Danio rerio: one gene and its partner. The protein of the gene in region 2 interacts with the protein of the main gene of each other region in a biochemical or structural test. Links are inferred from orthologs where the notes say so. Each region holds a gene or a part of one and is shown on either strand. Other genes may lie near its edges.

Evidence for each region.
Region 1: the proteins of rab27a (region 2) and sytl1 form a complex in vitro, tested with the Homo sapiens proteins (3 studies listed by BioGRID). The link is inferred for Danio rerio from reciprocal best matches to the Homo sapiens genes RAB27A and SYTL1.

What each region holds. Positions count from the first base shown.
Region 1 is NC_133194.1:45,489,509-45,493,456, forward strand, and holds the start of sytl1 (synaptotagmin-like protein 1), read right to left. Parts: upstream 2,456-3,948; 5' UTR 2,338-2,455; coding exon of another isoform or gene 2,333-2,337; intron 442-2,332; exon of another isoform or gene 367-441; 5' UTR 356-366; coding exon 240-355; intron 1-239.
Region 2 is NC_133193.1:3,157,125-3,160,972, reverse strand, and holds part of rab27a (ras-related protein Rab-27A), read right to left. Parts: intron 3,818-3,848; coding exon 3,694-3,817; intron 532-3,693; coding exon 330-531; 3' UTR 1-329. UniProt on the Homo sapiens protein: Small GTPase which cycles between active GTP-bound and inactive GDP-bound states. In its active state, binds to a variety of effector proteins to regulate homeostasis of late endocytic pathway, including endosomal positioning, maturation and secretion.

The DNA of each region.
Region 1 (3,948 bases), on a different chromosome or scaffold from region 2:
AATTACATGCCAACAGCTCCTTTAGAAATAGTATTCCCTGGAAAAAACATGACCTGTTCAATACTTATTCCCCCTGCTGTATATATTGTTGTTCACCTGAAGCTTAATTTTCCTGCAAAAAGATTGTTTTTTTACACATATTATTCTGATATGGAAAATTTGTAATTGAATAGGGTGTCCTAACTTTTTCACACAACTGAATATTTTGCAAATTAGTCCAGTAATGTGCACATACTGACCGGACTCTACCTTCCTCTCGGCTGCGGAGTTCAGCATCTCTCAGCAAAACATTGAGGATTACCGTTTGCTCCACCTCCGTCAGGTGACACAGATCTAGTACAGGTTCCTTTTCCATTACAGACACACCTGACGCCGAACACACCGGGTTATTAGGATAATGATGTAGATGTGGTTCATGAGAAACCACACCTAAGAGAGCTGCTGATAGAAATATATGGGAACTACAAGAGTTTTGGTATTGTGATAAAACACACATAAAGGATTAATGGTAACACTTTACAATGAGTTTACATTTGTGAATATACAGTGGAAGTTAGAATCATTAGCCCCACTGGATATTTTTTCCCCAATTTCTAAACATAATAGTTTAAATAACTCATTTCTAATAACAGATTTCTTTTATCTTTGCCATGATGACAGTACATAATATTTTACTCGACATTTTTATAAGTGCAGTTTAAAAATATTGCTTAAGGGGGCTAATAATATTGACATTAAATGTTTTTTTTTTTTAATTAAAACCTGCTTTTATTCTAGCTGAAATAAAACAAATAAGACTTTCTCCAAGAGAAAAATATTATAGGAAGATTTCTTTATATTTAAAATTTCTTGCTGTGTTAACCATCATTTGGAAAATACTTGACAGAAAGTTCACAGGAGGGCTAATAATTTACTAAACTATAACTTTACGTTTCAGAAAATAAATTCCAATTTCAAGAAATTATAACCAGTATTTTGAGCTCTAACCTGCATGAATGTTTATTATGGTCCTGCATTAATGTTCATTCATGTTCTCCAGATGTTCATTCATGTTCTTACTGCTGCAAGAACACGGTTATATAAAAGAGACTAATGTTTTCTGTTAATTTATCCACCCTCAATCCTTCCAAGATGATTTTTTTTGGTATTTATTTAAAAAAAACTGTTTTATTGTTATTGTTTTTGACTCAAAGATCTGGTAATTGTTGACCATTTCAATGTGGAAATGTAATTGGTCCTTGAACATTTCCTGCTTGTCACCATACTATTTCATAACTGTAACAAGAGGCAATTCAACCCTATTTTCACGTTAAATTAGCTATCATAACATTATTTATCAATATCTTGACCTTTTTGGATTATCGTAAGCTATGGAAATTAAAAATATAAAAGAGGAAATACATCAGGATATATACATCATTGTTATTGTTTACATTCCTCAAAATGGTCTATACATTCATTCACAGCCAATGTAAATTTTTAGGGGAATTCTCCTTGTCAGAAACTTTATAATCAGTGACTTCAATACTTGTTTTCCCCATACTATATATATATATATATATATATATATATATATATATATATATATATATATATATATATATATATATATATATATATACATACATACATATACATATATATATATGTGTGTGTGTGTGTATATATTTTTTATTATATGTGTATATATATATATATATATATATATATATATATATATATATATATATATATATATATATATATATTACCACAAATTACAATTTTCTACGAAAACTGTCGAAAACTTTGACGATGGTAAGCCAAAGTTAATTTGTTTTCCTCACCACTAAAATCACATGCATTTAATGTACTCATTCAAATGTATGCAAAGCTGTACAATAGATTTCATTAATTTTTTTGTATTTCCTATTATTTGTTCCAAGCTTTATCTTAGTGTCCAAATGAAACTAACAATAGTTGATTTCATTATAAATGTTTACGAGCAGCAGTAAACTTAATTTCAGGTGAACTGACAGACGGAGCGATGCTTGAATCGCGCATGCGCACAACAAACCGGGCCAAACGACAAAAGTAAACATAATTGCTTACCAATTCGCAAAGAAAGTGTTTATCTGCTTCCACAAAATTACATTAACATAAACTAATGCAACGTAACTCCAGTTAATCAAGTTACTGAAGACTCTCGGTGAGTACATTTTATAAAAACTCGAGGAGAAATGAACAGATGGAGTCGCACCTGTCAACTCTCATTCGCATCAAAATCAGAAGTGAAAAAGTACCATAAGACGCGAACAATTCTGCTTTGAACGACAGTATGTTATGTTTTTACCTCATCTAATGTCTTCTGCATAGTTTATTCCGGTGTTTGTTTCTTTCCCAAGTTTAGTTGTCGTCAGTTTGTGAACAGACACTCATTTGTGTCTGATTTGGCAGGACTGGCACTTTCACACCCGCCCTCGTTTGGGCACAGAGCAAAATGCGAACCGGATTCCCACCGAGCACGCGCTTATTTTACTAATTACTCTCTCTCTCTCACACACACTCAAAGTTCTGACATTATGAGTTTTACTGTTACATCTCGTATTTTTGACATTCCCCTCTCTGAATTGTGACCTTGTATTGTAATTGTTTATTATATATATTTATTGAAAATGATATTTAATCAATTTCTCTGTGATTTTGGTGGATTTAAACAAAACAATTTTATTAAACAGTTATATCTATTAAAATAAGAGTTTGGCAACCTATTATATTTAGGAATAGGAAGATAACACATGTGAATTCAAACAAGTTATTGAAAAAAAAAGCTCTTGACTAAAGCCAAATTACAAAATTTCAACCAATGGTTTGTTATTTCTGTGTTTCTCTTGATTTATCCGGTGTATTAAAACTTTATTTCATATTTTCCCCAACGTATTAATTTAGGCATACTCATTTTCAGTTTTTTTTAAGATTAGATCCAGTTTTTGCTTTGATACTGACTAATCTAATGTCTATGCACAAATATATTATTGAACAACATTATATATATATATATATATATATATATATATATATATATATATATATATATATATATATATATATATATATATATATATATATATATAAATAGTATTTATCTCATTGGAAATCGTGCAAACAACAAGAAATGGTTAGTGTAATTACTATTAATTAAAAATAAAACTTAACTCTGAGAAAACGTTGTGAAGGTGATGATACACAGACAACTTTTTGGTTATGTGCACATAAATATGTCATAGGTTTTGTGAAAGAAACACAAAAAAATGTCTTTCTTTACAATTAACAAAAATGTGTACGCTCTGTGCTCATGTCTGTTACAGTCAGTTCCTGTTTGGAGTCTCTATCAGCCCACACCTACAAAACACACACTGACACACGATCAGAAGATTAGAAAAACACCAGACAGACAGAGACATACGTTGTTCACTGACCCGTGTGTGTGGCGTCTGTTGATTGAAGGTTGATTAATATGGCTTGGATGACAAATTTGCTCACACTCTATTTAAATGTACAATTCACGCTACTAACAAACCATTAACTAAGACTTTTAGCTCAATAAACTACTAATTGGCTGCTTATTAATAGTTATTAAGGTTGGATTAGAGATGTTAAATAAGATCATATGTTATAAGTACTAATAAACAGTTCATATCTTAAAAGGCATGTAATAAGCCAGTAGTAAATGGTGTGAATTGTTACTTAAACTAAAGTGTTACTATTCATCATATTGCAGCGACTCTCTATTGAACTAACTTCTGTTGAAGCCGTTGGTTTAAAAGGACAGGTTACCCAAAAATGACTCACTATTTACTCACTCTTGTGTAGTTTCAAACATTTATGAGCTTCTGTTTTTCTGTTGAACACAAAAGAGGATATTTTGAAGAATGCTGGTTGCTGGAACTCATTGACTTCAATAATAAT
Region 2 (3,848 bases):
GTTGTTTTTTCTACTATTTGATTACAGATTTTCATCATCTTTAGTGTTCAACAGAAGAAAGAAACTCATATACGTTCCTAAGCACATGAGAATCCATAAAAAAGGCAGTGAACATAAGATTTTGTGTGAACTATCCCTTTAACTAATGGAACCTTATGGTAATGTGTGACTGAAGAACACCCGTGACACACATCTATCCTGATGCATTGTGGGTATTTGGTGTAAAGTGCTCTGGAAATGTGAAGACTGAGCTCCAGGTGAAGATGTAAGAGACATTCGGTCCATCACTGAGATTAAAACAGAGTGAAGCGTGGGGTTTACGCTGATTATTAGCATGCACACTTGCTCTGCTCGGGGTCGTGTGGTTCTGTCAGGTCGGCGGTGCTGTGGCCGTTGCTGCGGACTGTCCCGTCGGGGATCCAGGATTTATCCACACATCTCTCCATGCGCTTCATGATCAGATCCAGCAGAACCTCCACCGCACGACTCACATTCTCACCGTTCGCCGCGCTCGTCTCGAAATATGGCACGCTGAGGAGAAAAACACACTTCAGTACATTGAGAGTACATCATTACAGTCGTATGAGCATAAATCACATGCTGATCACCAGTTCATTACTTCAAATTATTAATTAACTACGGAGAACATCATTACAGTTGTATTTAAATTAGGGCTAAATGATACTGGAATAAAATGTTGTTGCATGTTGCAAAGATGATATTTCTTACAATTTTTACGAAAATTAAATATATAAATTAGAAATAAATCACAATACTGATCTCACGTGCTGGCCATGTTACTTTAAAAACATAAACACAATTACATGGTGTAACCTTATGGCAATTACTTTTTTAATTACTATGTCTGAAAAGAAATCAGTATGGAATTTATTTACTTGACTCAATACTTAAAATCCCCATAAAAGAAATTATTAAATAGACAACAAAAATTAAATCTGAGTCAAGCCTGGCATTTTAACTTTAATTTTTGAAAATTCTTTCACATTTTGTTAATACACAACAGTTAAACAGAAATACTCCTCAAAAAATACAGTTTCAAACTAATTACTTCATATTTCATACATACTATATATTGTTGTTTATTTCCGACTCAATTTCATTGTATCATTTATATATTTAATAAATTCATTTAAAAAGAAAATAACAAAAAATAAATGCAAAACCCCTTTTGTTGTCCTAAAAAAAAAAAAATATATATATATATATATATATATATATATATATATATATATATATATATATATATATATATATATATATATATATATATATATATATATGTGTGTGTGTGTGTGTATGTATTATTATTGTTGTTAATATTAATGACAATTATTATATGTAAAAATATATTTTACCTTTTTATTGTATTATTTTCATGACCATTATAAAAATATTTTTTTTTCTAAAAATTTAATTATAACAAATTATTTTATATAATATAAAAATAAAATATAAATAAAACATAAAAGTCTGAAAAAACATAAATGTAGCCTTGATAAGATGTACAGATATTTTAAAAATAGTATTAAATATTCCAAAATTTCAACTAGTAATGTAAGAAATATACTTTTTTTCCCTAATTTTAAATATTAATTTTATTATTATTATTATTATTATGAATTAAAATCATTATGTTAAAAAATATTGTAACATTTAAATTTCTTATTTAAACAACCGAGTGACAATAAATGTATATAAAAACAAGTGATTAATGCATTTTGAAGTAATATTTTTAAAAACAACATAAACAACATAAATTATATAAATAAAAAATATTTAGAATATATATATACATATACATACATATATATATATAATTCTAAAAACGTAATTAATACAAATAATTTTATATAATATAAAAATATATATATAAATAAATCATATAAATTAAAACAACATATAAATGTAGCCTTGATAAGATGTATGTAAAAAGTCTTAAATATCCTCAACATTTGACTAGCAATGTAACAAATATACATTTTTTCTTTTTATAATTGAATATAACAATCATTATTATTATTATTAATTCATTAAAATCATTATGTTAAAAAATATTTAACATTTTAATTTTTTATTTAAATAACCGTGCGATTAATATATGTATATAAAAACAAGTGATAATAAATGCATTTTGAAGTAATAATTTTAAAAACAACATTATAAATCATAAATAAAAATTATAAAAATGTTTAGATAAAAAATATTATATAATAATATATAGAAAAAACATTATATAAATGTAGCCTTAGTGAGTTGTACAGATATTTCAAAAATAGTCCTCAATATTCTAAACGTTTGACTAGCAATGTAAAAAATATACATGTTTAATTTCCCTAATTAAAAGAACATATTAATAAGAATTATTATTAATAAACATTATTTTTACTGAAATTTCTAAAAATAATCCTAATTATTATAATCCTAAATAACATAATATAAAATAATATAATATAATATAATATAATACAAAGTTTTTACTATTAAATGTTACATCATGCATAATTTTTCTAAACATAATCAAGAGCAAATACACATAATTCTCCTGACGTTTTCATGAGAGCAGCACACACTCAGCTGCATGATAAATTGTATCAGGGTGTGTGAGTGAGTGATCACTGCTGCTATACGGAGCATAATCCTGCATTCAGCTTGTCCGAACTGAAGACGCACATTAACACAGTCAATATTAGTTTTTCGGTATCCCGCATGTGTAGCGTGTGACATTTAACAAGAGCCGTCCTCATCTTAGGCAAACACTGGAGACTCGGCCCTTAAAACAAACACGCTTCGAGACGCTGCACCTTCTGAACACAGCACAATATCAGCTCAGATAATATTTCTACACCTCTATGAGTCAAACTTTATATTCTCATTTTAGACAGAATCGTGCAGCTCTAATATATATATATATATATATTGGGACAAAGGCAAGCTGACTGAAAGCAATATTTTAAAAAAGAAGGTTTAATAGAGCAGATCCAATAAATTCATTAATTCATTCTTATTTATCTGGGGTCCCCACAGCGGAATAAATTGCCAACTCATCCAGCATGTGTTTACACAGTGGAGGGCCTTCCAGCTGCAATCCATCACTGGGAACCATCCATATACACTCATTTCACACACATACACTACTGCCAATTTAGTTCATCAATTCCCATACTGTGCATGTGGTTGTGGTAGGGGAAACCGGAGGAAACTCACGCCGATACAGGGAGAATATGCAAACTCCACACAGCAATGCTAATTGGCCCAGTGGGGACTCGAACCAGCGACCTTCATGCTGTGAAGGCACAGTGCTAACCACTGAGTGATACTATAAATGAAGCCGTTTAATTTACGACTGTCAAAAAAATCAAAAAGTCTCCTTTCTGACAATTAAATCAAAGCAGACTCTTAATTTTCTGACTTAAATTAATGTTATTGGGTTATGTTATTTTTCATTTTTCTAATCTAAAATGGAGCTGTTTACATTTTAACCCAATTTATTGAGTTCAATAAAAAAATGTGCAGAATAAAATCCTAATAAAATCATGACTGTTTCCTAACTCTCGGTTGCAAAGGAAATCAAATGCTTTTAGCTGATAAACACTGAGTTCTGATGAGGTGTTGAGTCAATATTAATGCAGTATTGGCTGAATGTGACAGAAACAAGCATCTGGAGTTTCTCACCCGTATTTCTCTGCCAGTTCTCTTGCGTTCTCCGCTTTGACGGCACGCTGCTCCTCCAGGTCTGATTTATTTCCACACAAGACGATATCAGGATTCTCACAGTACGCATGTGTCTGCAGCTGACCTGAATGACACGTTACAACAAGTAATTTTTC